Linked DNA regions of Arabidopsis thaliana. The protein of the gene in region 1 purifies or fractionates together with the protein of each later gene. This does not show direct contact. Each region holds a gene or a part of one and is shown in the gene's direction. Other genes may lie near its edges. The genes, in order: UBA 2, ALAAT2, SPDS1 and AT5G16880.

Region 1 (8,840 bases):
TGCTATTACAGTTGAAACCTGAATATCTTTGGGGGTCCTCTTGTCTTAAATTTGGCATCTCTCCTTCATTATTAAATTAGTGTCTCTCTTACACTTTGGTGAGCTTAAACAGGAGTATAATTTGTAAGTGTTGGAATGAGTGGAATATTCAATTTATTCCATTCAACTTAAATGGTTATATTTGATTCCACCAAATTTTATCTTTCTAATTACACACATCCATTTGCACTCTTGTTCTTAGCAAAACAAAATTGTTCTAATCTTTAGCCAAAACCAGACCTAAATCAAACCAGCACAAAATCTCAGTTATATCAGAAAAAGCAGAACCAACATATAGTTTGTTTCATACACAATGTCGAACGTTAAAGAATCTGAAACTGTTCACTTTTTGTTTAGTGATTGTTGATTGTCACATCAAACAACTTACAAAGGATCACTTTGATTCAGGTACAAAGTCATTTCCATCAAAAGAACCAAAAAAAAAAAGAAGCAATCACAGAGATAAGTAGTAAATCACTCATCGGACAATTGATCCCAAACATTGACGATGAGCCACCCTTCAATGGCTGCAGCCTCAAGTTGTTCTTCAGGACCTGCCTTCTCCCATTTGGCCTCAATCGAATCCAGCTGGCCCAAATCAGACCACAATACTCTGTGCGCTAATTCTCTTGTCCCAAGAAACTCAAGCACCAGAGTTCCACGAGCTTCCGCAGCCAATTTCCCAACGTTAATCGCGTTTCTTATCACGAGACCGTGGTTTTCTCTAAGCAAGTCCAGGTCTTCCTCGATCTGCACTCCAACAAAAGTGACAAACTTGGAAGCAAAGAAACGGTACAGATCCTTGAGATTGTCATGAAAAGGTTTAGGAAGTCGAAGGAAGAGACATAAGTTTCTAGTGCTCAGCTTCACCGATGACAGACTCCACCCTGACGTTTTGGTTTTGGTTTCAGTTTCAGGAAACCCCACATCCCAGTACACATCGAAGATCACCGCTCGGTTTCCATTCAAGATAGAATCTTCTCTTATAAGTGAAAGGTATGGAGAGATATCTGTTGATGATCCAACATCAATGGTCTTAGTCTGAACATAGGAGCCATCAGTCATCTTGAACTTTGGCCCATCAAAGGAGGCCATGTGATGAAAAAACACTAAAGAATATTCACAAATCAAATTAGATTCAACGATAACTGACAAAGTTGTAGCTAAACTTATCTCAATACTAATAGAAGTGGAAAGTAAGATAGTGAATCCAATCATCACTCATATAACTTGAGCACCAATAAGGTTTCCTCTTTTTTATAAAAAACTACAAGTATTCATGAGTTGGAAACTTGGAGAAATTGGGTGAAGAAAGGACCACACATTGAATAAACAATGATCTAGCATCGAATTGATCAAAGTAGAGGTAAACAAACTTTTTTTTTAGTTTTGGCTACAAATACCATTGATCACTCCCCCTAGTTCTAGGTTTCATGACCTTTCTGTGCATCAAAAGATAACAAGAAAGAAGCGAAACTTTTTGTTCTATATCTCTTAGACTAATTAACTAATGGAGAAACAAAAACATTTGATTCTATCTTAGTTCTTGTAACCCAAAACGATCGATCCGAGAGATAAAATCCCCTAACTATCATCTGAAATTGGAATCATACTAGTCAAATTCAACTTAAAAGAGACATTAACTGATGAGAAGTTAAGAGGAGGACGAACCTTGAAATTTCGCGTCCGGTTAGGGATCGTAGTAAGCGAGGAACAGTTCTTCTGGTTTCTGCTGGAAGAGAGAAGACTAAATCCCCGCGAGGGAAGAAGAAATCACGAAATGGAGACACATTTCCTCAGCTTGCTTAACCAACCATACGTTAGTAATTTAAGCTGACCAATCCGGTTCAACCGAAATTCTATGTCTTTTGAATGTTTTTCTTGACTTTTTTTTTTAAGGGGTCCTTGTCAATCTTTGTTACCAACGCCAATTCACACAAGAAATATAATGTGAGACATTTTTCATCGTTATCATACAACCGTGAATATACTTGTCAAGCAATGTTGGTCAAATTCTCAAGATACAAGAGTTTTTTTTCACGCTAATGTAGTCACACTACAAATCCATTAATATTATTTTTTTCGTTTAGAAATCACACATAAAACATAGATTGTGTTTGTTGGTATAAGTGATAGAGAGAGCATCCCCATATCATTTTCCAAACACAAATGCTCACACCAAAATGGTTGAGTTCATAAGGTACATTTCCACACATTATGCTTAAGTTTCACTCTTATTACACTTCTTTGAAATGTCTATTAATCTTTAGGAATTAGCAAGTACGACACACATTCAAATATCCAACAACTACTCTCTCTTTATCAATCAACAAATAAAAAACAAAACTTGATTGATTAACAATTTCAAAGTTTAAATTCAATCACACCTAACCTGAATTAAAATTTGGTCTATTGCATACTCAAATCCGGTTCAATGTTACAAGACCAAAACCAGATATTTATCTTAAACTGGTCCACTTGAAAAAACGAAAAAACTTACCACACAACACAGGCTGATTCTGAATTCAGCACAAATAGTTTCAAAGCCCAACAATCATCGCCCAATTTTTGTTATATACCGCCGCTTCTTTCTACACAACCTACAAAGCCAAAAGCTTAGTATACTCTCTCTTTCTACTTTAACAACAAATTCGCCGCTTATCGCCTCCGATCTTCTCTCAAAGGTACGGTTTCGTTTTCATTTCCTCCGATTCTCGTTTCTTCTTCAGATTCCTTCATCGATTAGCTCTAGGAACCTTCTCATCGGAATTCATTTATTGTCTTTGTTTGTTATTCGAAGCTTCTTCTGTTTATTTGATACATATTCTCTTTCAGTTACTCTATATGGAACCATTCGTTGTTAAGGAGAACATCATCGCATCTGCTTCTTCGCCGATGAAGAAGCGACGGATCGATCACACTGAGTCAGCTGATGGTTCTGCGATTAACGCTTCTAACTCCAGTAGCATCGGTTTGAACAACAGCATCGGTGGTAACGATACGGTGATGAGCATGGCGGAGTTTGGTAACGACAACTCCAACAATCAGGAGATCGATGAAGATCTTCATAGCAGACAGCTCGCCGTTTACGGCCGTGAGACTATGAGGAAGCTTTTCGCTTCCAACGTTCTCATCTCTGGGATGCAGGGCCTTGGTGTTGAGATTGGTAACGATTTTTGTACTTTTCGTTGTTAATTTCTGCTTGCATGTTATTCCTGTGCTTGTCCTGCTGGTTGTTAAAGAGCTTCAAGCTTGAGCAAACGTATTTCGTGATTAAGCTGTTTTGATGTTGTGTGTACATTTGGGCACTTGAAGTTGAGATTGTAAAATTGGTATATTAACTTGTTAATCCTGATTTTCTAATGAGTTAGTGACACATTATATAATGGAAGGATTATTCAATATTCACTATAGATTTGTAATGAACTAATGACTGGTATAGCTCTTTATTCTCTTCGTTATTTCCTTCTTTCTGATGGATGATTTTTTTTTTTTTTTCTTATTTAGCCAAGAATATTATTCTAGCTGGTGTGAAGTCAGTGACCCTTCACGATGAAAATGTGGTTGAGCTATGGGACCTATCTAGTAACTTTGTTTTCACGGAGGAGGACATTGGTAAGAATAGAGCACTTGCTTCTGTTCACAAGTTGCAAGAACTCAACAATGCTGTGGCTGTCTCAACTTTGACTGGGAAGTTAACCAAAGAGCAGCTTTCTGATTTCCAGGTATCCAAACCCTTCCTTTATTTGGTTTGTCTTTGCTTCCTTGTTCTAGTTGTTAATAATACTATCATGATTCATGGACATAATTATCTGTAAAAGAGATTAGAGGTGACTGAACGTGGATGAAAACGTTTCTACTAAAAGTACAGAATGTTTGGCTTTAGTGGTTGATTTCTTTTTTTTTTCCTTGATGCAGGTTGTGGTATTTGTGGATATCTCTTTTGAGAAAGCGACAGAGATTGATGATTATTGTCACAGTCATCAGCCTCCTATTGCATTCATCAAGGCTGATGTTAGGGGGCTGTTTGGGTCTTTGTTTTGTGATTTTGGACCTCATTTTACTGTTCTTGATGTTGATGGGGAGGAACCTCACTCTGGCATCATCGCTTCTGTTAGCAATGAAAATCCTGGATTTGTTTCGTGTGTCGATGATGAGAGGCTCGAGTTTGAAGATGGAAATTTGGTTGTTTTCTCTGAAGTTGAGGGAATGACAGAGCTAAATGATGGAAAACCAAGGAAGATAAAAAATGTCAAGCCATTTTCATTTACCCTGGAGGAAGACACCTCTAGCTATGGGCAATATATGAAGGGTGGCATTGTGACTCAGGTTAAACAACCAAAGGTGTTGAACTTTAAACCTCTTAGAGAAGCACTTAAAGATCCAGGCGACTTTCTTCTAAGTGACTTTTCAAAGTTTGACCGACCACCTCTTCTCCACTTAGCATTCCAAGCACTTGATAGGTTTTCGTCTCAAGCAGGCCGATTTCCGTTTGCTGGTTCAGAAGAAGATGCTCAGAAACTAGTGGAAATTGCAGTTGACATTAATGAGGGTTTGGGTGATGCAAGGTTGGAAGATGTCAACTCTAAACTGTTGCGGCATTTGGCCTTTGGATCCAGGGCTGTTCTGAATCCTATGGCTGCAATGTTTGGTGGCATTGTTGGGCAGGAGGTTGTCAAGGCATGCTCTGGGAAATTCCATCCTATCTTTCAGGTAAAGACTTTTCTGTTTGGTTTTTCAGGGGCTCATCTGTTCGGTCTTTGTATGTTAAACTTCTACTTGTTGAGCAATGCTGTTCATCTATGTTATACAGGCATTTACTCTACATGAGTCCTATACCAGGACTAAAGTTTCTCTTCCCTTGTTAGTAGTATTTCTTTTATACTTGGTAATGTGGTAATTAGTTTGCATTATTTGTGCAGTTCTTTTACTTTGATTCGGTGGAGTCACTCCCCAAGGAACCTCTTGATGCATCAGAGTTTAGACCACAAAATAGCCGTTACGATGCACAGATCTCTGTATTTGGGTCTACTCTTCAGAAGAAACTCGAGGATGCCAGAGTTTTTGTTGTAGGGGCTGGTGCTCTTGGATGCGAGTTCTTAAAGAACTTGGCTTTGATGGGTGTGTCATGTGGCACCCAAGGGAAGCTAACTGTCACCGATGATGATGTAATTGAGAAGAGCAACCTGAGTCGTCAGTTTCTTTTTCGAGATTGGAACATAGGACAGGCTAAATCCACAGTTGCCGCAACAGCAGCAGCTGGAATAAATTCTCGCCTCAACATTGATGCTCTGCAAAATCGTGTTGGACCTGAGACCGAGAATGTCTTTGACGACAGCTTCTGGGAGAATTTGACAGTTGTGGTGAACGCTTTGGACAATGTCACTGCAAGGCTTTATGTTGATTCAAGGTGTGTGTATTTCCAGAAGCCTCTCCTCGAGTCAGGAACCCTAGGTGCAAAGTGCAACACACAGATGGTTATCCCTCACCTCACTGAGAACTATGGTGCCTCGAGAGACCCACCAGAGAAACAGGCTCCAATGTGCACCGTGCACTCATTTCCTCACAACATTGATCATTGCTTAACATGGGCTCGCTCTGAATTTGAGGGTTTGCTTGAGAAAACACCAGCTGAAGTTAATGCATACCTCTCAGATCCTGTTGAATACATGAAAGCGATGAGAACTGCTGGTGATGCCCAAGCAAGGGATACTTTGGGACGTGTTGTTGAGTGCCTCGAGAAAGAAAAGTGCAATTCATTCCAGGATTGCATAACCTGGGCTCGTCTGAGGTACTCTCTGTTGGCCCACACCCTTCATTGAGACTATATGTAAAATGATTTTCTTCTCTTTACATAATTGCTTGCTTACAGGTTTGAGGACTACTTCGCCAACCGTGTGAAGCAGTTATGTTACACATTTCCTGAGGATGCTGCTACTAGTACAGGAGCTCCGTTCTGGTCTGCCCCAAAGAGATTTCCTCGCCCACTCCAATTCTCCTCAACCGACCTGAGCCATATCAACTTTGTCATGGCTGCATCTATCTTGCGAGCAGAGACATTCGGAATCCCTACTCCTGAGTGGGCTAAAACCCGAGCAGGACTAGCCGAGGCTGTGGAAAGAGTAATTGTCCCCGACTTTGAGCCGAAGAAAGATGCAACTATTGTGACAGATGAGAAGGCTACAACTTTGTCTACAGCTTCAGTCGATGATGCAGCAGTAATCGATGAACTAAACGCAAAACTAGTGCGGTGCAGGATGAGCTTGCAGCCAGAGTTCAGGATGAAGGCAATCCAGTTTGAAAAGGTGAATCATAAATGTATCCAAGTATCTTTCAGATTCTGTATTTGAATTATAAGAGCAACAAACTAACATTATTTTGCTGTTCTTAGGACGATGATACCAACTACCACATGGATATGATCGCTGGGCTAGCCAACATGAGAGCAAGGAACTACAGTGTTCCCGAGGTGGACAAGCTTAAAGCCAAGTTCATAGCCGGAAGAATCATACCCGCGATTGCGACATCAACTGCAATGGCAACAGGTTTTGTTTGCCTTGAGATGTACAAGGTCTTAGACGGGTCACACAAAGTAGAAGACTACAGAAACACATTTGCTAACTTAGCACTTCCGCTCTTCTCCATGGCTGAGCCGGTTCCACCTAAAGTGGTGAAGCACCAAGACCAAAGCTGGACTGTTTGGGACCGGTGGGTGATGAGGGGAAACCCGACCCTAAGGGAGTTGCTAGACTGGCTAAAAGAGAAAGGGCTAAACGCATACAGCATATCTTGCGGAAGCAGTTTACTGTACAACAGTATGTTCTCAAGGCATAAAGAGAGGATGAACAGAAGAGTGGTGGATCTTGCAAGAGACGTGGCTGGGGTTGAATTGCCTGCTTATAGACGTCACGTGGATGTTGTAGTCGCTTGTGAAGATGATAATGATGCTGACGTTGATATCCCTCTCGTATCAGTCTACTTCGCCTGATTAGAGAATTTTAATTAACGTCCCCAACGAGAGAAGCTTTTAATAATTACTGTATTCTTGGGATATGAAGTTGAGTTTCAGAGATAGAGAGAGTTTTGATGTATGAGAATAGAGTTAACTTCTTAAAATTTAGAACTAAATTTTCAAATTTGGTGTTTTTCACTTATTCATTACAAACATAATACGATTAAACAATCCTAATACAAAACGTTTTTCTCACACATCATTTACTACAAAGTTAAAAATCAGATAGTTATTATTAGCTTATAACAGCAACTACGTACAAAGAGGACATTTCACAAGTCCATTCTCATTACATTCTCTGCATCTTGTCCACATATTATCATTACTACTCTCTTCATCGTGATGCTCTGCAAGCAATCTTGTGCTTCCATTGCAGCTAGAACATATCAAAAACCTTTCGTTCTCGCAAGACTCGCAAGGTGAATCAACCTGTGAGATTCCTTGTAGTAGCTTCTTCAGCTTCCCGTTCTCGTTCAATGCCACAACTTCTTCTGCTCCACCAATGTACCTACCTCTAATGAACAGCCTCGGAGAGGTAACTTTCCCACCAAGCAACCTCCACATCTCTTCTCTAAACTCTGAATCCATGGAAACGTCTCTCTCTCTATACATCACCTGGTGATTCTCCAACAAGAATCTCACTCTTCTGCAAGCTTCAAATGTTTTCCTCACACTTCGCAGGCCCGTCGTGTAGAATACAACCGAATCTTCTCCTCCGGGTGGGCAATTCTCTTTAAACTCCAGAAGAATCCCTCTTTCTTCTTCAAGATTATGTTCCTCTGCATCCTCAAGCTCTAGTAGTGTTGGTGTAACACAACCTTTGCTTTGACCAGATTCAGCGACTATTTCGTCTCTTAGATGATGGATTGTGCGATCAATGGTACTCTTATGAAGAGTTAAGCTTTGCTTCAACGTCTTGACAGTGGTGATGAGTTTGATTTTCTTCACCAATCTTTCCTTCATTCCCTTCATTGCTAACAAAACTTGGATCTTTCAAAAATCTGAAAAGAGGATTTAGAGAAGAATTCTGATCAAGATAAGATCGGGTACGAGAACAAAAACAAAACAAAACTTAGTGGCTAATGGGTTCTTCGTTTTCAGGTTTCTTCTTTGGTTAACGTGTGGGTACCCAATTTTGATGAATAAAGTTTCAAAAGCTACTTTCTGGTTTAGCTTTCAAAAGTCTTTCTTGATGGGTTTTCATCAGAATGAAAAAAGAAAGAAAAAAAGTCTTTGTTTTTTTTTTGTGTTGATGGGTCATTGCTACAATAATGTAAGATGTGATGATAAAACTCACACCTCAATTACAGAAGACAAAAGACACTCATGACATGAGTAATGATTTTACCCAATCAACCCAATTTTGCCAGAAGGCTAAAAACAAAAAAGGAAGATGTTATAATGGAGCTTTAAGAAATATAAATCTTTCTGGTAAGAGTCATCAATTGATTTAGCCTGTCTTGTCTTTTACAATTCCAGAAACGTGCAATGATGTAAGATTGGTAAAGAAGCTTAGCTTTAGCTAGCTTGCAAATTCGAATTAGTCAAAATTTTCTATTTAATCATATACTTTACTCTGATTACTTTTTCGCATTACATATGATGGTTGAGACCTTGTCAGTTATACCGTTCCAAGCATTTGACTGATTGCCATAAGACCTGGTGATACATCTTATGGTGAAGAAAGCACATTCACATTGGTGTCCAAAAAATAAGATCACCTTCACATTCAGGGTCTGACATAACTGATATAGAAAGAATTAACAATTTTCCTAAACTATCTATACAA
Region 2 (7,987 bases), on another chromosome or scaffold:
ACTGGAATCTTTTGCCGTTTCAGTGATATACTCAGCTTTCATAGAAGTTAAGCTTGTTATGTATGGCTGTATATGATCCTGTGAAATTGAGAAAAAGTTGGGAGTTACTGTGAATGCACATGAAAAGCCAAAAATTTGGAAGTTAAAAGCACTGAAGCTATTTTTGTCAACACAAGAAGAGAAGGAAACATACACTAGAAAACTTAAAAATCCCCTGAAGTATCAAACAACCCATGACATGCATCTTTGCACCAGGTGCCCACTCCCATGTAGACTTATCTCGACAACCAAAGTAGTAATCAAGAAACAGCAACCGTGGAAGAATGGAGATACGGGATTCATTTGTGGAGCATACTGCACCAACAAGGGCCTCACAACACTGTCAAATCAGTAAAAATCAGCTGTATAAGAACACAATTTTGAAACTAGAAAAGAAATAAATTTTCATCTAAATTTAGAAAACATAGAAACCTTATTTTCATGACTTTGAAGCCTTTGGCTAACTGCTATCAGAGAAGCCACAACACCTGACTTCCCTTGCTCAAGAAGATCCTTGAATCTTGGAGCTAATTCTTCCCACATAATACCCATCTTGTAAACAAAATCAATTGAACGTAAGTTTACTGGCTTCACGGAAATAGCACAAATAAATTCGAAGTTAAGAAGACCTGGAATGAAATTTTGATGTCACAGAAAAAGATGAAGTGTATGATAAAGATACCTGCTCTTGGTCTCTTGCATGGGAGATTAATGCTTGAATAACAAAATTTGCACACCGATCAACTGAAAGCTCAAATAAAGAATTCTTGAAAACTTTGTTGAACATTTCGTTATACAAACTTTCAGGGGCCACTTCCAAAATAACCTGAAAATGGCATGCAAACGCATTTAAAGAGATGACTAAGAAAATTAACACTCCAATTACAGCATGGAATCAAACAGAGAACTAGCAATCCTTATAGATAATATTTTGCATGGTCTAAAGCAGGCAATACGTCCATCATCAATTGTTTTATGCAAGGTACAGAATCTTGGTATAAACAACTCAGTCAGAGCAGCCAGAGGTTAGACTCAGTTACCTCCACCAGATGACTGAATGAATTATCCTTCATCGACTCTAAAATTTCTTTGGCAACATTAGTCTCTATATGAAACCCTTCTACTTTTTTATTAGTAGAGTTGCAGCGCAGAATAAGCGGAATGATTTCAAGCAACTGCTCATCTTGTTTCAGCATTAGTCTGAGAGCCGTCTGTCAAGAGAAGATTAGTTAGAATCACCGTGAATCAGGGAGAGAGACTAAATAACAGTCAATACTAAAGAAATTGCTTGAAAATGACATAAACGATTAGACAGGGACATAAAACCTACCTGTAAGACCAAACTGCTATACTGATCGACTTGAAGATACTTCATGTCCTCTCTGCTACAACTTAATAGCCCAGATAAAAGGTACGTGAGCATACCTGGAAACCCTTGATGAGGGATTTCTAAATTATTGTCATCTAGCTGAGACATCTTCAGATTCAAACGTTTGGCCAGAGCTTTTGATGATTTTGCGCCATAAAGCTCAGGGGAATCTAAAGAGACTCCTTTGCAAAGACAAAGAAGCCTTCGTAGTACATGCGAACCATAGCAGTTGCACATCATATCAAGAGGATTATCCACAATCACCTGACCAGGGGAAATATTTCACCATCAAAATTGAGGTCAATTACTAGACTAGAAGCAATAATCTGGATACCTTAATATGATTGTCAAAGCCAGTAAAAATTGTATAAAGTACCTTGCATATAGAATGCAAAGCCTCCTCAATAACAGAATAGGCGTCTGGATTTTCTAGATGTGTGGCCAAGGATTTGAGAGCAGACTCTGCGACATGAGAACCAGATCTATCCATTGCAATGGCTGGGAACACACTAGCAGAATTTCGTATGAAACTGCAGAGTTGGTCAAGTTCACATCCCTCAAGTAGAGTTTGCAAGACATGACTTATGATATAGTCTGTAGCAATTTCATACTCCCTCCCTCTTGTTTCTTCAAGGGCATTTCCACATATTACTGAACGTTCCTCTAATTCAACTTCATTACTATCAAAGAGATTGGCAATCTCAGAGAAATACTTTGAAGTCTCTGGATCAATCTCTTTCCTGAAAAAGATACACCCAAATCACTACCACTTCTCACAACAACAAAATTTCGACTATAAATTAGAGCAAAGGCCCTTGGTTAAAAATCTCCTTTACCTGACAAATTGATTCTGATGTTCGAATTCGGAGTGTTTCTTTGATGCTGGCTTTACATTGGGGGCACCACCGGATTGGTTCTTCTTGCTGCTATCTACATCAAATCCACGGTTACCCTTATGGTCCTTCCTACGCATTCCCTTATTCCTTTCACTGTGATTGTTACTAGACTTTCCTCGTTCACCCATCAAGCTATCTTCCTCAATGGTCCTGTGCCTCCTAGATGGCAATGATTTAGAACCAACAGAAACCATGAAAATTCCTAGCCCCAACTATGTTAAACCCTACAAAATTTACACACAAAAAAACTCAGCTTCGAAGAACTATTAGTCCCAAATTACACAATATAACAAAAAAGGGAAAGGTTCAATTTTTTCTCCAAATTTACAGACCCCAAAAATTAGGGTTTCTACCTCTACTTCAAAACGATACCATAACTGGGTTGAATAACCTAAAACATAACAATAAATTCCGAGTCCCAATTCTAAGACTTTACACTAATCCATGTGAAGCTTGTACAAAAGAACAGAAACAATAAGGTGTATCACAAACCTTTGAGGATGCAAAAACACAGTTGACGTTAGAGGAGAAACGAACAAGCGTGAGCTCAGACTAAGAACGCGGCGCAGAGACAAAACGACGTCGTCTCCGAAACTCTTGGTATACGTTGGATCAAAATCTTCGATGTTTTGACGTTGTACAAATTTTCTAATTCCTAGGGTTTTATTCTCGTCCAACCTAATACGATATCGTTTTGTTGACGTGGATATAAACAAATAATGGGCTTTAAATCACGATTTTACCGACCTTTTTAGGGCCCAATTATGTAGCCCAAAAAAAACCTCATCGTTAGCAATGTGCTGCTACATGTTGTTGTGATTTATTTAAATTTAGAGATTTCTAAAAATTTATAACTTTCAAATTAGCTGTAGGTTTTATAAGTATCTATTTATCCCCAAATTAGATTACGACTGTGATTGGATTATTCAATTTTGGTCCTTTTGGATAATTAAGTCAACGGAAGATAGACTTCAGACATCTTTTTTTGATAAAAGACATGTCTTTTTTTGGGATTAGTCGTGTGTTTAACAGATAAATCAACAAAATTAGCCGCCTAAAAAAAACCCCTACAAATATCTTCATCAATTAGATTTTCGAAAAGAAAAAACGAAAAAGCAATTTCTGAGCGTGGAGGACAAGGCAAAATTCGGTGTGCAAGGCACTGGATATTGGGACCCTTGTTTCCTCGTGAGAGAATTTTCAATCCTAGGGCTTAAAGAGCACGTTCCTAGTATAAAGCTGATTCACAGATGCGGAGATTCTTGATTAACCAAGCTAAAGGTCTCGTCGACCATTCTCGTCGTCAACATCACCACAAAAGTCCAAGCTTTCTCTCTCCTCAACCTCGTCCCCTTGCTTCTTCTCCTCCTGCTCTGTCTCGTTTCTTCTCTTCTACTTCGGAGATGTCTGCTTCTGATTCCACTTCTTCTCTTCCCGTTACTCTTGACTCCATCAATCCCAAGGTCGGTTTCTAATTCTCTAGCTGGTTTATTGCGTTTTTGAATTGTGGGTTTCAGGGTTGATCTGGATTTGTTTCTAATTTAGTAAAAAAGTTTCAATTTTTTACTGTGGTTGTCTGATTTAACGCCAAAGGTTTATCCTTTGCTTCTCGTTGTGATTCCCAACGATGAAATCGACAAGCTTTGCATAACTTCTTTGTACTTTATATTACAGAGAAGTTGGTTTTATTGTTAACTAAGAGTTTTTTTTCTTTTCCGGGGAACAGGTTCTGAAATGTGAGTATGCTGTTCGAGGAGAAATTGTCAACATTGCTCAGGTCAGAGATGCATGTGCTTTGTCTTGTAAAACCAAGAACAAAATCTGTAAAATTGTTTTTAATGCTAATTGATTTTTGTTTGCTTTTTGCTTCCATCTTACAGAAGTTACAAGAAGACTTGAAGACTAATAAGGATGCTTATCCCTTTGATGAGGTAAAATCTCTTTCTTTATCGGCAGTTTTGACGGATTTATGATTAGTTTAGTGTTGATGTTACCTGTTCTCAAACTCTTTGTGCAAGGAACTTAGAATTCTTCATTACTTTTGGCAGATAATCTATTGCAACATTGGGAATCCTCAATCTCTTGGTCAGCTGCCTATAAAGTTCTTCCGTGAGGTAAGTGAATGTTTTTGGTACTAGTTTGGTTGTCATATCAGCCACAGAGATATAACGTCTATCATCTATATGCCTCAGGTTCTCGCATTGTGTGACCACGCAAGTCTTTTGGATGAGTCTGAAACCCATGGTTTGTTCAGGTGAGGTTTTCCTTGCTATATTTCAGCTTTAGGACATGTATGCTCACGGTTTAAGATTGCTTAACATTTGATTTCTACTCTGCTATCAGTACCGATTCAATTGACCGAGCATGGAGGATTTTGGACCATATTCCCGGAAGAGCAACTGGGGCTTACAGTCATAGCCAGGTTTGTTATTAGAGTCTAGTTAAAAGTCCTAAACCCTTTCTTGAGATGGTTCTTATGTTGCTGAATGTTTCATTTTTTGTTCTGCCTCAGGGTATCAAGGGTTTACGTGATGTAATTGCAGCTGGAATCGAAGCACGTGATGGTTTCCCTGCTGATCCAAATGATATTTTCTTGACTGATGGTGCAAGTCCAGCGGTAACAATCAAAACGAAAACGTTATCTCATAGAGTTAGAGTAAGTTCTTTTAAAGGATTCATGCTAAGTGTTTTTGGTGTTTTTTACTCTATAGGTTCACATGATGATGCAACTTCTCTTGAGCTCAGAGAAAGATGGTATTCTTTCCCCGATTCCTCAGTATCCATTGTACTCGGCTTCAATTGCCCTTCATGGTGGATCTTTGGTATGTTCATATAATCATCATGGAGTAATGTTGTTTTTTGGTACAAGTTTTTGAAATTTGTACTTCTTAGGTTCCGTACTATCTTGATGAAGCAACAGGATGGGGACTGGAAATATCTGACCTTAAGAAGCAACTAGAGGAAGCTAGGTCCAAGGGCATCTCTGTAAGGGCCTTGGTTGTCATAAACCCCGGTAACCCAACTGGGCAGGTACAAACAGATTTTCAAGACTAGCCTAACAAAATGTAACATTCTTCTAATCTTGCGTTCTTATTCTGGTTAGGTTCTTGCGGAAGAAAACCAGCGTGACATTGTTAATTTCTGCAAGCAAGAGGGTTTGGTTCTTTTAGCTGATGAAGTCTACCAAGAAAATGTTTACGTCCCTGACAAAAAGTTCCATTCTTTCAAGAAAGTGGCTCGGTCTTTGGGCTATGGAGAAAAAGATATCTCGTTAGTCTCGTTCCAATCAGTCTCCAAAGGTAAAAGAACAACTTTTACTGTCCAATGCTTGTCATCTAAAAAATGGGGTTTTTGTTTTTAATATTCTTCTGTTGATAGGATATTATGGAGAATGTGGAAAAAGAGGAGGTTACATGGAGGTTACTGGATTCACTTCTGATGTAAGAGAACAGATATACAAAATGGCTTCTGTGAATCTTTGTTCTAACATCTCTGGTCAAATTCTTGCTAGCCTTGTCATGAGCCCACCCAAGGTAACACCCTAGTTCTCTCTAATCGGTTTTCGCTAAGTTCTTGCAACAGATTATGACTAAAAAGTCTAATATTGTATTTGATCAGCCTGGTGATGACTCATATGACTCATACATGGCAGAAAGAGATGGAATTCTCTCATCCATGGCTAAACGTGCAAAGGTTAGTCGAAGATTACAATACCCTCTAACGACATTTTTCAGTCTCTTTGTATATAATGTCACAAGCTTGAAAATGAACTTGCAGACTTTGGAAGACGCTCTCAACAGTTTAGAAGGTGTTACATGTAACAGAGCCGAAGGAGCAATGTATCTCTTCCCGCGAATTAACCTTCCTCAAAAGGCTATCGAAGCTGCTGAGGCTGAAAAAACTGCACCAGATGCGTTCTACTGCAAACGCCTTCTCAATGCTACTGGTGTAGTTGTAGTCCCTGGTTCTGGCTTTGGACAGGTAAAATATAACCAAATCTTCATAACTTTAAATGTCTTACAAAAGGATCGAACTTGAATAATGGGTTTTGGATTCATTGTGGTTTAGGTTCCTGGAACATGGCACTTTAGATGCACAATACTTCCACAAGAAGACAAGATTCCAGCGATAGTGAATCGTCTGACAGAGTTCCACAAGAGCTTCATGGACGAGTTCCGCAACTAAAAGGACCTGACCATGAAGATGAACTTAAAGACCCTTTTGAAGAAAAGTGTGATCAGTTTGAGTTATTAAAAAAAAGAAAACTTGTGTTTTGAATTTGATCAGGCAATTGTGATCAGCTAATTTAATTTTAGAATATTTTGTACTTCCATTCCATGGCATGTCATATGAAGATATGAAAATTAGTAAATTTATTGGGCTTATAAATGGGCCTTATATTATTAATGGGCCTTATATTTATTTTTCATATGATATTTCTGGAGAAAGCGACAGTATATTATCTTCAATTTTTCCATTTTGAAGAATTTTCTCAAGAAAAAAAAAAATCAATGTGGAGAAGATCACCGTCGTTTATTCTCGACGAGCGACGAAGCTCGAATTCACCTCCAATGGCGGATACAACACGAGGTCCTTTTCAAAACCCTGATTCCATCTCCGCTTATTACCAAACTCGCGCGGCGCATCACGGTGTCATTACAAGCGACTGGCTAGCCCAAGCTCAAGCCGCCGTTGGCGGCGTCTCAGGCGATGCCCAGCATGACTTATCCGTAACTGATCTCGGGAACGAGAAGTCGTTTAATGTAATTGAAGAGTTCAATAACTGGAGAAAACAACCGGATCTGGCTGAAGCCGTCGCGGCTATACGAGCTTTGGCTGCTGTTATTCGTGCGAGCGAAGCGAGCACCATGATGGAGCTTGAAATTGAGCTCAAAAAGGCTTCTGATACACTCAAGGTGAGAATTCATTTTTCACTTTCTGTTCATTCTTCGATTTTGTGGGCTTTGTTGATTTAAGAAATGTTCAAATTTTGGCAGTCGTGGGACAAAACGTCGATCTCTTTGACAGCTGGATGCGATTTGTTTATCAGATACGTTACGAGAACGTCTGCTTTGGAATATGAAGATTTCAATTCAGCTAAGTCTCGTCTTCTTGAACGTGCTGAGAAATTTGGGGAAATATCTTGCAAGGTACTTCCTTTTATGGCTTCTGGCTCATATTTAGTAGTTTTTGTACATATATCAATGAAGTAGATCAATTAGTATTTGATAGAAGAGGGTTTATAAAGGTTTGGTTATTGCGCAGGCTCGTAGGATTATCGCAATGCTTAGTCAAGATTTTATATTCGATGGTTGTACCATATTGGTTCATGGACTCTCTAGAGTTGTTCTGGAAATACTTAAGACTGCTGCACAAAACAACAAGCTCTTTCGAGTTCTCTGCACAGGTTCGCTTAAACAACAAGCTTAGATTGGAACTTGAGTTGTATCCGCTTAATGTTTCTTGGTTTCTCTGAGACATTTTTGTTGCATAGTCTTGACCTTATAAACCCTGTCTCTTTATGATTTTGTTGTATTAGTAGCCTCTCGCTAACTTTTTTTGGTGAAAAAATGATAGAGGGGAGGCCGGATGGAACAGGAGTTCTGTTATCGAGTGAGCTATCGAAGCTCGATATCCCAGTGAAACTACTGCTTGATTCAGCTGTGGCGTATAGTATGGACGA
Region 3 (6,728 bases), on another chromosome or scaffold:
TTTCATAAGGTGGTTGGAAGAAGCGTACCACGTCCGGAGCCTACCATAGATGATGCGACTTCATACCTCATTGCTGTGAAGGAAGCATTTCATGATGAACCTGCAAAATATGAGGAAATGCTTAAGCTCTTGAATGATTTTAAAGCTCGCAGGTATGTATTAGTTCTTTTCTCCATGTTATGTTTGATTTTCTCAGTCTACAGAACAAATACATTATGTAAATTGATTCTGATGTTACTAAGTCTCTTTGTAGAGTCAATGCCGCTAGTGTCATTGCTAGGGTGGAGGAACTCATGAAAGATCACTCGAATCTGCTTTTTGGTTTCTGTGTCTTCCTTTCAGCTACAACGAGTTTTACCACGAAGCTTAAGGTATAGAGTGCTTATAGGTACCATTTGATATTTCCTATATGTTCACTTGCGGTTTAAGTAACAAAATTGTCCATATGCAGGCAAAGTTTCAGGGCGATGGTAGTCAAGTAGTTGACTCAGTTCTTCAGATAATGAGAATGTACGGTGAGGGAAACAAGTCCAAACATGATGCGTATCAGGAGGTAGGCTTCTTGGTAGGATACTTTGTGTTGTGTGTTGCACTTTCTTAGTTCTTTGGTTTCATTTGCTTTGTTATCTTTTGCAGATCGTTGCACTTGTTCAGGGTCATGACGATTTAGTCATGGAGCTTTCACAAATTTTCACTGATCCATCTACTAGAGTCTAGAGATGACTAAGGACGGTACTGGAAGGCTTCTAACGAAAAGAGAGTGATTTTAGTTTTCTTTTGCAAACATTTGAGTTTGGTTTGATTAACATGACATTCACAAATATGCTATGCTTCTATGTTGAGGTATATTGTACAATGAATTGGCGTATAAGAGACTAAAAGAGAGTGTATAGTTTCTTTTGTTGAGGTTTCTTTGATATCAAATGTTTTTTCACTAAATAAATATTTCCTCGTTACCAAGAAGACATGAGATTTGGGCCGTGTAGATATTTTTTGGGTCGTGTTTGCATAAGAAACTGAGAGGGGAAACACTAAAAAAACAGAGTTCAGCTAGAAACAAAAACAGAGAGGAAGAGAGCCCAAACTTACGCCTGGCCAAAAAATACAGAGCAAAACAAACAAAGTCAAGTAATTCTAATAACAAATATATTTTCTAATTTAAGTAAACCTTATATGAATTACGAAATTGATAATAAGATTTTATAGAAAAAAATTAAATTCAATATTTATATCTCTAATTTAAATATGTTTTGTATATTTTTTAAAACAAGATTTGGACTAAATTAATACAAATATCTGCATTCTAATCATAAAACTTTCTCATCATATGTCTTTAATTTATAGAAAGCTTTTAAATTTCATTTTCACAGATTTTACCAATTATATACTTTTGCAACTAAAAAAACCAGAAGACTGCAGTGTAAAAGCTAATGCTAAGATTTTACTAATTATCTGCTCAATACAAACACAAATCGATAATAAAGCTCTTTACATACAAACACCGGATTCTACTATCGATGATGCGGATGCGGTTACATACATCAATGCTGTGAAGGAAGCATTTCATGATGAACCTGCCAAGTATGACGTGTTTTTAAAGCTCTTTACTGACGTTCGCGTCCATATATAGATATGAGTTGTTTTCTCTCTTGTTATGTTTGGCATGCTCATCATTTCATAAGTACCAATCCACAGAACAAACACACTACGTGAACTGATCCTGATGTTACTAAGGTCTCTTTTTGTAGAGTGTATGTCGCTAGTGACATTTCTAGAACGAAGGAACTCATCAAAGATCACGAGAATCTGCTTCTTCGTTTAAATGCCTTCCTTTCCAGCTGAGACTCAGAGAGTCCTACATCCCAATATTGAGCAACGGGCTGCATCTGATGATAACAAAAGAAGTTCCTTGTAGACTGACAAAACATAAGCACCTATGTGCTTTGATTGAGCTTTGAACCCACAAGAGCCAAGATTTAGCTAATACTACATATGAACCAATTGCTTCCTCTACTAGGAGCTGTACCAAATCTTATTATCACTGTACAAAGTTTCATATTGTTAAAAACTAATTTACACAAGATTACTTACAACAAATAAAGTTAAAACAAAAATAGATTATAGAGTTTGGAATTGGTAACTAAACCAATTGAGAGAACATGGAAATAACATTCTCTAGTCTAGTCCGTCCATGTTTGGTGGTGGTACAGTATGAGAATTTTGCACGTGAGAAAGCGCGTGTGCTAAAAAGCGAGTGAGCATTAAAGACACGAATAAAAAACCAGACATAAAAAGCCAAAAAGTTTCTCTTTAAAAAACCATTAAAAAGGACCCAAAAGTTAAAGAAACGATATATTCGAGGCAAAAGTAGAATTATCATCACATAATAATTTCGCTACGTTGAAAAAAAAGTGAATAAAAAAATGAAATGATATTTTCAGTTGTACGCTCTTCTCTTCCTTATATCTTCCGCTTCACTTCACACCAAAATCACCACCTCTCACAAACCCTAGTTCCTCCTCTCTCTCATTTCTCGGAGATATTCACCAGAGCAATAACCATGGACGCTAAAGAAACCTCTGCCACCGATTTGAAAAGACCGAGAGAAGAGGATGATAACGGCGGCGCCGCTACCATGGAGACGGAGAACGGAGATCAGAAAAAGGAACCTGCTTGTTTCTCCACTGTTATTCCTGGGTGGTTCTCTGAAATGAGTCCTATGTGGCCAGGTCTTGTTTCCTTCCTCTCTCTCTCTCAAAAAACAAATTCTGGGTTCTTAAATTAAAAAGCTGATTTTTTTTTTCATTGGTTTGATGATGCAGGAGAGGCACACTCATTGAAGGTTGAGAAAGTTTTGTTTCAAGGGAAATCAGATTATCAGGATGTTATTGTTTTCCAGGTAACAAAAATAAGAATCATTTCTCTGTTTTTTCCTAACTTATTTGTCTGTGATTATACTTATAAAGACTTGTTTTTTATGTGTTGGTTAGTCTGCAACATATGGAAAAGTTTTGGTTTTGGATGGAGTAATCCAACTTACGGAGAGAGATGAATGTGCTTATCAGGAAATGATCACTCATCTTCCTTTGTGTTCTATCCCTAACCCTAAGAAGGTATACAATCAATCCTTTTGCTAGATTCTGTGACCTTGATTGTGTTGTGTTGTGGGTAATCAAAAGTTTATAGCTTTGGAATGTAATGAAAGGTCTTTCTTGAAGTTTGCATTTTTCTTCTCCGGTAAAGTAGGATGATGAAATCATTAGTTATGGAGAAATAGAGAAACCAGAGTTCCTTTTATTAGATGTGTATATAGAAACTACTTGAGTTGGCATTAATGATTACATTCCAGGGTGGTGATAGGAATGTCCACTAGAGAAAAGGTTCATGATCACCATTTTTTGCTTTTTATATGTACAAACTTTGATGGCCTCCTGAGAAAAAAAGGTACATAGTCCCATGTTCCCTTCTGGCAAAGTTAGAGAACTCAAGTAACTTTATTGGGTTATAATAATGATTCGGAAGAAACTTATTTCAATGGGCTTAAATGATTAGTCTTTAGCTTGTTATTGGGGGACTTGGTTCAGAAAAGGTTAGATAATCAAGCTTCTTACATTCAGAATTGCTTTTGCTCCCAAGTATCAGAATTGGGTAGTCTAACTATTTTGGGTTATGGTAAAGTGGGTCAGCTAAAAATGCTGTTTTTGCTTTTAGCTAGTAAAGCTATAAGCCAGAGTGTATCTGATCAATGCCTTTCTAGTTCTTCCATAGGTTTTGGTCATTGGAGGAGGAGATGGAGGTGTCCTGCGGGAAGTTGCACGCCATGCTTCTATTGAGCAGATTGACATGTGTGAAATTGATAAAATGGTGGTCGACGTGAGTGGTCACTTACTTTTCACCTTTCCTTCTTCTCTATTTCGATAGATAAATACCTTGTTATCTAATTTGTTTCCACCTACTGGTAATTTTCAGGTGTCTAAGCAATTTTTCCCTGATGTAGCAATTGGATATGAGGATCCTCGCGTGAACCTTGTCATTGGCGATGGTACAATACTGCCGCTTTTTTCTCTCTTTCTGAAACATTATGTAGTTATGTTGAACACATTTTGCCGTTTCAAACTGATCGGTTGGTGAATCGTTGCAGGTGTTGCTTTCTTGAAGAATGCTGCTGAAGGATCATACGATGCAGTTATTGTTGACTCTTCAGATCCAATCGGTAACTACTACAATCAGATGTCATCAGATGTCATCAGAAACAACATTATTCCTTACTGTTATGTTGAACAATACTAAAAAGCAGCCTTTACTTATTGTCTGTCAGGTCCTGCAAAGGAGCTGTTTGAGAAACCCTTCTTCCAATCTGTGGCTAGAGCTCTTCGTCCTGGTGGAGTTGTGTGCACTCAAGCTGAAAGCTTGTGGCTTCACATGGACATCATCGAAGACATTGTTTCCAACTGCCGTGAGATCTTCAAGGGTTCTGTGAACTATGCTTGGACCAGCGTTCCAACATACCCCAGGCATGTTTAATGACCTTTAACATCAATCTCTCTCCTTTTTGGGTGATTATAACTTAACCTGAATCACACTTTTCTTATTTTCAGTGGGGTCATTGGATTTATGCTTTGTTCAACTGAAGGACCTGATGTTGACTTCAAACACCCACTGAACCCAATTGACGAGAGCTCCAGCAAATCAAATGGACCTTTGAAGTTTTACAATGCCGAGGTAAGATAAAAATCTCTCAGTATACCATTTCATGCGGTCTACACACTCGAATCATTAGCTTATGCTCTCATTTCTTGGGGGTTTCAGATTCATTCAGCTGCATTCTGCTTGCCTTCTTTCGCCAAGAAGGTCATTGAGTCAAAAGCCAATTGAAAAGGGAAAGAAAACTAATCTGGAGGATCGTTGAATTTATCAAAAAATAAAAGCTTTTTACAGTTTTTAGAATGTTCTGTTGTTTCACTCATGTTTCTGTAACACAATGCAAGAGCGACTATGTCTTCTTTTAGCATTACACATTCGCATAGTAGCAAATCCTATTTACAACATGTTCTTATGCTTTTGCGTTGAAGCTGAGAAGTCTAATAACCTTTCTGCTTTTATACCATTTATTATAAAGATTCACACTTTGAATTGATCTCAGCCAAAGTCTCTTAAGCAGCAGGAGTTTTAGCTTGTTCTACATCACGCTTTTTTCTCAAAACCATAGTTTTACAATCATGGTAACAGGCAAGACAAGTCACCCATTTAAGTAAATTGCCAACACAAATCAAGCCTACATAGAAGCCAGTGTACATCACTCCATTTCCACTCGCACTGCATTTGGAGTATAAACATGGCATCCTTGTCGCAAGACCGAAGACCAAGAACATTAACATCAACCAGAGGTCACGCTTCTCATGTCCTTTTCTATACCAACCTGAAAGAGACAGAGCATCTCCTCCGTAGATGCCTTGACCATCTTCGTCTTCTTCCAAGACCGAAACAACCAAACCCATGTTCCATCCGGAGCTCCACTTACTATACTTTGCAGTCAGAACTATAAATAGAGTACATTGCATCAGAAGAGTCAGAGGCACTACCACGTTGAATAGACCCGTTGGTTGGTAGTGGAACCCTTTGTATTCGCGTGAGAGATAAGGAATGGATACGTAGTTGGTTGAACCAGAGAGAAACTGAAGAAAAAAGAACAAGAAAAAGAAAAGAAAAACTGAGGTTGACCAAAGGAGGACATAGAGAGATGTGATCAGACAACCTCCTACTCTGTTCTGACATATTTTGATAGATCTCTCTACCAAATAAAGCAGCCCTAACGGCTCTTCCTTGGATGTGTAAACAATCGAAGATGCTGCAACGATCGTGGTGGTGGTAAGAAGGTCAAGAATGGTGTAGGGGAAGAAGTAGAGCAGAAATGTCTGGATCAGCCATGAAATCAGATCATTCTTTTTCTCTGATATGAGAATCAGATCATTTTCCGGCAAGTCTTCTCCCAGAATGAGTAGTTTCCAGAGGAATTGGGAAGTGAGATAGACGGTGGTTTGGAGGGAGAGCTCAAAGAAGATCAAGAAAAAAAACAGTGGGAGAGAGCAGAGGCATAGGAAGAGCAAGAGATTGATGTTACCAAAGAGTAGCTTAAGAGCTCGTTTTAGTAGTTCGATGACACTTAGCTTCTCTTCGCTATTCGTCTCCATTTGTTGATCTCTTTCTCACAATTGAAGTAGAAGAAAAAGGGTAATCACAGATCTGTATGTAAAGTAGAACATATATTAATATATGGTTAGCATCCTTCATTGACTTGTTGACTTATTCTACAAGCCACTGTATGGTAATGTTTGACTAGTAGGGTTTTACTAGAAGTGTCTTCTGATTTGAGAACTATTAAACTTCAATTTGTTATTTCAAGTAGAGAGCAAAAGCTATTGGTGATAGAGAAATTGTTAAAGATTTGGTCACAACTCACAAACAATTTCTCTATGTAGCAAAAGCTTTTGACCCAATCTCCACGTCACCCTTTTTCCTCAAGACCCTTGTGTTACAATCATGGTACCAAACAACACAAGAAACCCATTTAACGACATTCCCAACACAAATCAAACTTACATAGAGACCAGTGTACAACACTCCATTCCCACTCAGACTTTCACTGCATTTGTAGTATAAACATGGCATCCTTGTCACAAGAGCGCCGACCAAGAACACTAGCATCATCCAGAAGTCACGCTTCTCTT
Region 4 (6,936 bases), 3.6 Mb from region 1:
TTGACATGTACGCTAAGTGCAAAAAGGTTGATACTGCACGTGCTATGTTTGATTCACTTTCCCCCAAGGAAAGGGATGTTGTGACTTGGACTGTGATGATAGGTGGATACTCCCAGCACGGGGATGCAAATAAAGCTCTCGAACTTTTATCTGAGATGTTTGAGGAAGATTGCCAAACAAGACCAAATGCTTTTACCATATCATGTGCCCTCGTGGCATGTGCCAGTTTGGCTGCACTAAGAATTGGCAAGCAGATTCATGCTTATGCGTTGCGCAACCAGCAGAATGCAGTACCGCTGTTCGTATCAAACTGTCTAATAGACATGTATGCAAAATGTGGAAGCATCAGTGATGCCCGCCTTGTATTTGACAATATGATGGCGAAAAATGAAGTTACTTGGACATCTCTAATGACGGGTTATGGTATGCATGGTTATGGAGAAGAAGCTCTTGGAATCTTTGATGAAATGAGGAGAATAGGTTTTAAGCTTGATGGTGTTACATTACTTGTTGTATTATATGCTTGTAGTCATTCAGGAATGATTGATCAGGGCATGGAGTATTTCAATAGAATGAAAACTGTTTTTGGGGTTAGTCCTGGTCCGGAGCATTATGCATGTTTGGTTGACTTGTTAGGTCGTGCTGGCCGGTTGAATGCAGCTTTGCGTCTCATTGAAGAAATGCCAATGGAGCCTCCTCCTGTGGTATGGGTTGCTTTTCTCAGTTGCTGCAGAATCCACGGAAAAGTTGAACTCGGGGAGTACGCTGCGGAAAAAATAACAGAATTAGCATCTAATCATGATGGATCATATACATTACTCTCAAATTTGTATGCAAATGCAGGGCGTTGGAAAGATGTGACTAGGATCAGATCATTGATGAGACATAAAGGAGTTAAGAAAAGACCTGGTTGTAGTTGGGTTGAAGGAATTAAAGGAACTACTACGTTCTTCGTGGGTGATAAAACTCATCCACACGCTAAGGAAATATACCAGGTCCTCTTAGATCACATGCAACGCATCAAGGACATTGGTTATGTTCCTGAAACAGGCTTTGCTCTTCATGATGTAGACGATGAAGAGAAAGATGATCTTCTTTTCGAGCATAGTGAGAAGTTAGCTCTTGCATATGGTATTCTAACAACTCCGCAAGGTGCTGCTATCAGGATTACTAAGAATTTACGGGTATGTGGTGATTGCCATACAGCATTCACATACATGTCCAGAATCATTGATCATGATATTATATTGAGGGACTCAAGTCGCTTCCATCATTTCAAAAATGGATCGTGTTCATGCAAAGGTTACTGGTGATGATGCTCTCTCTATGCACTCTACCAAACACGGAAGCAACCTGAGGGTTTTGACATGGCTACAGCAGATTTCAGGAACGATCTAAAGGGACAAAGAAAGGGATAATAAGCACTGTGTTAAACACCTCATGTAGATTATATAATTTAAGCAAATTTTGTAGATGAATAGCTTTCTTCTTTATTTTTGGTAGATAATCACACTCCATACCATGGGTTTATCTTCAATAAACAAGATCTGTTGTTACATTTGAAATGTTCATATAGCCAACACTCCCATGAACTGGCATTAGAACAAGCCATTTTCTCAATGTGCCAAAAAAGGCTCGAGCTTTTGATACTTCTAATACAAATCCAGCAAAAAAAGATGATATCACCATTGGTAGAGGGAAATGCTACATGCCCATGAAAAATGGGGAAAATGTTTTAAAATGAATATTTCGTCATCATCAGGAACGAGTATACGTAACAACTACAGATTTCTCACAGGTAACCTCGGGCGAACAGAGAAGGTGGAGTTCATGTCTCTCCTTTCTGCTTGGTCCATCTGAGAGATCAGGTTGAAGAAATGTCATATCGAAATTCGAATCTGCTAAAGAAGCTTTAGTCCACCTGTTACTTCATCAACAACTTCGACTGGTCCTGCAGAAGTAAAATCTATAAGCGTTGGAATGTTGTGTTAAGAAATGCTGATAATATCCGATAAACAAATTCTGCTACAAGAATCTCTAACTCCTGGTCATAGAACGGTGCATATGAATTTGGATACCACGCAGAAAGTATACACCCTCTTCTGACCGAGTCAACTTTTGAGCTTACATTTCATATTTTGGATTCTTATGAACTATAGATTCCATTCAGGGTCAAGGACAAGCACCAAGCAATCAAGAGAAGTCATGAACTAATAAACTAGTACATTTCTCTAGGGTAAGTGTGATTTGCAACTCTCAAACTCATCACTTGTCCATCAGAGTCTTAACTTTCAAACACATATCTTAAAAATAACAACTTACCAAGAATAGCCATAACCGTCCTTGAATCTGGAAAGAACATGACGTATTATTAGATTCACATTTTCGCAGAAAATGATACTTACGAAAGAAGATTGAATCAAGAGAGCTTTCTCCCTGGCAATTAACTAGCAATCATAAAGTTTAAAGCACCAAGGGATTTCAAGTTCAAGAGGGGAGGAACTTATGAAACTCACTTGGGGCAATCTGTGTTCTTCCAGCATCAATGGTGATATGGGTAGGCAGTTTAAGGGATTTAGCTCTTTCCTGACAATTTTGTGAACAGTCAATACAAGATATAAGAAATGGGAAAAATCAAGATAAGCTCTATGATATCTCAAATTCCCCTTAAGTATTCATGTATATGGTCAGAACTCAGAAATTATCAAGAAACTAACATCTGGCAACTCCTGCAAAGCCCGTGAAGATCAATTTGGCAACAGCACTAAAGCTGTGAATCCAAAATATAGTTCAATAAAAAAAATCCACTTTACAGTCTACTACAATTTGTTTTAGTAAACTCACTTGCAATTCTAGCATCTCGTCCTCGTCCTCGATTTTCACAACAACTTTTGGCTGTGCACATTCCTCCCAGCTGCAATAGCAACCTATACTGTTAATTCAATCCATATATTAAGTAACAAATGGAATTGATCATGACTTAGAGGCATACCAGTCCAATGCTTTTGGCGCTCGACGAACAAGCTTCTTGTATAATCCTAAAGTTGCATGACTGCAGAAATGCAGACCAATAAAACGAATCAGAATAAGAACACTCAAATGTAAGAATGATAAACATGAATTAAACACTTAAAATAGTAAAAGAGAGCATGATTAGTTTATCACCTGCATTGAGCTGCAATCTTTCCTTTACCCATTTTAAGATCATTTCTCACCACCAAAACCTGAGTATACAAAACTCAATTCAACAATTTTGTGATTCCATAACAGTAGAGAGAAAAATGTAGCTAACTACCATCTTGAAATCATCGAGAATATCAGCGAGTTTCTCAATCTCGAGTGGACTTTTGGAGGATTGAGTTTTGATATCCTTATCAACAGCAGCAACAACAGGTTTGGAACGGCGAGTGCCAATGCAGTATCCAAGTGCAGCTCCAACAATTAGGGCACTTAACCACGTCAAATCCATTGGCAAGATTCAAATACTTAAATCCTACAGACAACAAAATGATTGAATTTGAGTATCTAAAATTGAATTACCTCAACGTAATCTAGCTCAAGTTTCTACAGTAGAAAGGGAACAATTAAGATTCTCATCAATGGTCTAAAGAAGAGAATCGAAGAAAGCTTACGAGTTCGAGAGAGAGAAACGGCTCCGATGATGAAGTTTTTTTTCCTGAAACCGGCGTGAAGATTTTACTGGCAAGAAAAAAAAAAAAAAACATTTAATGATCGATTATTTTTTGGTTCGTTGGATGAAATTGCGTAACGTGATTGGTTGATATGAAAAAAATAAAAATAAAAAAGCATATCTTTTTGAAAATAATGTTTAGCGTAAAGGAAGGGAAACATAGTCAGGATAAAGTAATTCCCACGACCAAACACTTAAAAAAGGAACGCAGTTTTCTTCTTCTTCAGGATTTGTACGGCGTCAACGGGCATTGACCTTGTCGCAGATTTTCCTCTCTAGTCTCCGTCTTCTATTACCAGATCGAGCTTTGTTCTTCGAGCTTCTCATCTCTTTGTTCAATCTCAAAGGTAGAAATTCGCGTTAATTTACTTGTGATTTCGCTGTTTTTTGGTTACTGTTTCCGTGTTGATCGATCTAGTTCTGGGTTTTTCGATCATATGAAATGTTATTTTCCTTATTAGGGTTTTTGTTGACCAAAACGAATTTTTCTATTTTCTTTCGAATTTTGATCTTCGAATATCGAATTCGGTTTTTCTCAGCAAACCCTAATTACATTCATCCGTAAAAAACTGTTTAATTTCTGGTTAAACCAGTTTCCTTGAGCAAATTTTGTTGGATCGAGAAGAATATTTGTATGATCGAAGAGATCGTATCTGAAAACCTGGTTTAACCGGGTTTGAACCTTTTTGTGTATTTGATTTTGTATGAATCTCTGCAGAATTCGTAGGTGTATATTATTGATTGTTAGTATTTCCTTTCGTGCTCGTTATTGTTTAGTATCATTGAAGGATACTTGAACAAGTTGATGTTTCAGCTGCTTTCTGGTTTGTTCTGTATGTACAATTCCAGGTTCTTGCTGTTTTTCATTTACAGGTTTTTGAGTATCAGCAAAGATGGGTGACAATCTTATGGACAAAGTTACCGCATTTGGTGAGCGCCTGAAGATCGGAGGTTCGGAAGTGAGCAACAAGATCAGTGCTGGTGTGAGCTCAATGAGCTTTAAAGTGAAGGAACTTTTTCAAGGTCCAAACCCAACTGATAAAATAGTCGAAGATGCTACTACTGAGAATCTAGAGGAACCTGACTGGGATATGAATTTGGAAATTTGTGATATGATAAATCAAGAGACAATTAATAGCGTTGAGTTGATCCGTGGTATAAAGAAGAGGATTATGATGAAGCAGCCGAGGATTCAGTACCTTGCCTTGGTTTTGCTCGAGACGTGTGTTAAGAACTGTGAGAAGGCGTTTTCAGAGGTGGCAGCAGAGAGAGTCCTTGATGAAATGGTAAAGCTGATTGATGATCCACAAACAGTTGTTAATAACCGAAACAAAGCTTTGATGCTGATTGAAGCTTGGGGAGAATCAACCAGTGAACTTCGCTACCTACCAGTTTTCGAAGAAACTTATAAGGTAACTATGACCTGGTACCAAATAATTTTACGCTATTAAATTCAACAATACAGTTTCATTTACAATACTTTATTGAAGATACCACTATCTTATGTTGAGTTGAACTGTTTTGGCCAAAGCATATGGGTTTTGAACAAAACAGACAAATGACTATTGTTTCAATGAATTGGCTCAATCGACTAGCTTGTTGCAGGAATTGATTGAAAAATGAAAAGCTGTGAGGTCTGATGTCAGAATTCATTATGATTAGGTCTTTAATGTTTTTATATTTTTTCCTATACTATAGAGCTTAAAAGCAAGAGGTATTCGCTTCCCTGGACGAGACAACGAAAGCTTGGCACCTATTTTCACTCCTGCTCGGTCAACTCCAGCACCAGAACTGAATGCTGATCTTCCTCAGCATGTGCATGAACCTGCACATATCCAGTATGATGTGCCTGTAAGAAGCTTTACTGCTGAGCAGACAAAGGAAGCTTTTGATATAGCAAGAAACAGCATTGAACTTCTTTCCACGGTTCTGTCCTCCTCGCCTCAACATGATGCTTTACAGGTAAATTGACTCGGAATTATTAGGCATCATTTCCTGTAATTCTAATGTAATAATGGATATAACATGGGATATCGGCGATATATTTTCATTATCTCTCTGATTTGCAGGATGACTTAACAACGACACTTGTACAACAATGTCGTCAATCTCAAACCACTGTCCAAAGAATCATTGAAACAGCAGGTGAAAACGAAGCCCTTCTTTTCGAAGCCTTGAATGTGAACGACGAGCTAGTGAAAACGCTGTCTAAGTATGAGGAGATGAACAAACCCTCTGCACCGCTAACCTCACATGAACCAGCCATGATTCCCGTTGCTGAAGAGCCCGATGACTCTCCAATTCATGGAAGAGAAGAATCTCTGGTTAGAAAATCTTCTGGTGTTCGAGGTGGATTCCATGGAGGGGGTGGTAGTGGAGATGACATGATGGATGATCTTGATGAGATGATATTCGGTAAGAAAAACGGCTGTGATTCTTCGACTAATCCAGATCATGACCCAAAAAAGGAGCAGTCCTCATCCAAAAACGACGATCTCATTCGATTCTGAGACGGATACTTTCAGGCGACATAATAAATCTTTTATAATGTATTTGGTGTTTAATTGGTAGTATGAATGAACAGGTTCAATGTAAGTAATCTGTGTTTGGAGATCTCTTTGACTTGTGTGATGGTTTATAAAGGAGATTTGTTATGATGGCACATGAGATTTGAAATACATTCTATTCTAGTTTCTGCTATCAAACACATTTTGACATCTATCCAATTGCTATCGTGCACATTTGAACACAAACTTTGTTTCAATTTAGCGTTTACAGTCGCAGACGCAATCGCGGTTAAGTGAAGCGCATCGTCACTTTCCACATTCATAGTAATATGCAACAACTGAGTAACAGAAATTTGTAATCGAACTCAGATTTCGAAGAAGCAGATCTCACAATGTCTGGAAAACAGCAAAATCATCGTTCTACTTCCTCCAGACCCAGATCCAAAACCCTAATCCTCATCGGCTCTCTCTTCACCGTCTCTCTACTCGTCATCCTCTACACCTCTTCTTCCTCCTCCCGAGCCTCCATCTCCAATCCCAACCCGTCGGACCGACCAGAGACGTCCTTCGTTACCTCGCTTGAGCATTTCTTAATATATAAAGCTCCGAAGCTCTCGTTACCGGTTAGAGACGACACGGTGCGTGGCGAGAGTGATGATGATGTGAGGAAGCTCGATGAGATGGTGTTCGAGAGAGAGAATCGTTGGTTGAACGAAGATCCGGGATATCCTGTTGAAT

The links.
Region 2: the proteins of UBA 2 (region 1) and ALAAT2 fractionate together in Arabidopsis thaliana (co-fractionation; one large-scale study listed by BioGRID). This does not show direct contact.
Region 3: the proteins of UBA 2 (region 1) and SPDS1 fractionate together in Arabidopsis thaliana (co-fractionation; one large-scale study listed by BioGRID). This does not show direct contact.
Region 4: the proteins of UBA 2 (region 1) and AT5G16880 fractionate together in Arabidopsis thaliana (co-fractionation; one large-scale study listed by BioGRID). This does not show direct contact.

The regions. Positions count from the first base shown.
Region 1 is NC_003076.8:1,967,356-1,976,195, forward strand, and holds UBA 2 (ubiquitin activating enzyme 2), read left to right. Parts: upstream 1-2,604; 5' UTR 2,605-2,723; intron 2,724-2,874; 5' UTR 2,875-2,883; coding exon 2,884-3,205; intron 3,206-3,546; coding exon 3,547-3,764; intron 3,765-3,957; coding exon 3,958-4,752; intron 4,753-4,961; coding exon 4,962-5,830; intron 5,831-5,911; coding exon 5,912-6,344; intron 6,345-6,430; coding exon 6,431-7,027; 3' UTR 7,028-7,172; downstream 7,173-8,840. Other genes in the region: AT5G06450 (Polynucleotidyl transferase, ribonuclease H-like superfamily protein), read right to left, coding at 514-1,134; AT5G06470 (Glutaredoxin family protein), read right to left, coding at 7,304-8,023. UniProt on the Arabidopsis thaliana protein: Activates ubiquitin by first adenylating its C-terminal glycine residue with ATP, and thereafter linking this residue to the side chain of a cysteine residue in E1, yielding a ubiquitin-E1 thioester and free AMP.
Region 2 is NC_003070.9:27,230,083-27,238,069, forward strand, and holds ALAAT2 (alanine aminotransferase 2), read left to right. Parts: upstream 1-3,392; 5' UTR 3,393-3,554; coding exon 3,555-3,767; intron 3,768-4,030; coding exon 4,031-4,081; intron 4,082-4,184; coding exon 4,185-4,235; intron 4,236-4,352; coding exon 4,353-4,418; intron 4,419-4,496; coding exon 4,497-4,558; intron 4,559-4,647; coding exon 4,648-4,726; intron 4,727-4,816; coding exon 4,817-4,960; intron 4,961-5,015; coding exon 5,016-5,126; intron 5,127-5,196; coding exon 5,197-5,334; intron 5,335-5,407; coding exon 5,408-5,603; intron 5,604-5,682; coding exon 5,683-5,837; intron 5,838-5,922; coding exon 5,923-5,997; intron 5,998-6,081; coding exon 6,082-6,285; intron 6,286-6,372; coding exon 6,373-6,489; 3' UTR 6,490-6,707; downstream 6,708-7,987. Other genes in the region: PUM23 (pumilio 23), read right to left, coding at 1-78, 194-379, 472-591, 722-865, 1,080-1,250, 1,370-1,672, 1,785-2,148, 2,245-2,498; AT1G72340 (NagB/RpiA/CoA transferase-like superfamily protein), read left to right, coding at 6,735-7,220, 7,302-7,454, 7,570-7,711, 7,882-7,987.
Region 3 is NC_003070.9:8,417,850-8,424,577, forward strand, and holds SPDS1 (spermidine synthase), read left to right. Parts: upstream 1-2,560; coding exon 2,561-2,729; intron 2,730-2,822; coding exon 2,823-2,899; intron 2,900-2,990; coding exon 2,991-3,113; exon of another isoform or gene 3,114-3,768; coding exon 3,769-3,873; intron 3,874-3,969; coding exon 3,970-4,042; intron 4,043-4,141; coding exon 4,142-4,213; intron 4,214-4,318; coding exon 4,319-4,514; coding exon of another isoform or gene 4,515-4,518; intron 4,519-4,598; coding exon 4,599-4,722; intron 4,723-4,809; coding exon 4,810-4,875; downstream 4,876-6,728. Other genes in the region: AT1G23810 (Paired amphipathic helix (PAH2) superfamily protein), read left to right, coding at 1-152, 254-371, 452-553, 637-717; AT1G23830 (uncharacterized protein), read right to left, coding at 5,154-6,191; AT1G23840 (uncharacterized protein), read right to left, coding at 6,472-6,728.
Region 4 is NC_003076.8:5,545,074-5,552,009, forward strand, and holds AT5G16880 (Target of Myb protein 1), read left to right. Parts: upstream 1-3,843; 5' UTR 3,844-4,038; exon of another isoform or gene 4,039-4,564; 5' UTR 4,565-4,584; coding exon 4,585-5,103; intron 5,104-5,389; coding exon 5,390-5,653; intron 5,654-5,760; coding exon 5,761-6,201; 3' UTR 6,202-6,436; downstream 6,437-6,936. Other genes in the region: AT5G16860 (Tetratricopeptide repeat (TPR)-like superfamily protein), read left to right, coding at 1-1,313; AT5G16870 (Peptidyl-tRNA hydrolase II (PTH2) family protein), read right to left, coding at 1,902-1,951, 2,323-2,349, 2,517-2,586, 2,845-2,914, 2,993-3,052, 3,166-3,224, 3,296-3,469; AT5G16890 (Exostosin family protein), read left to right, coding at 6,591-6,936. UniProt on the Arabidopsis thaliana protein: Might contribute to the loading of the ESCRT machinery.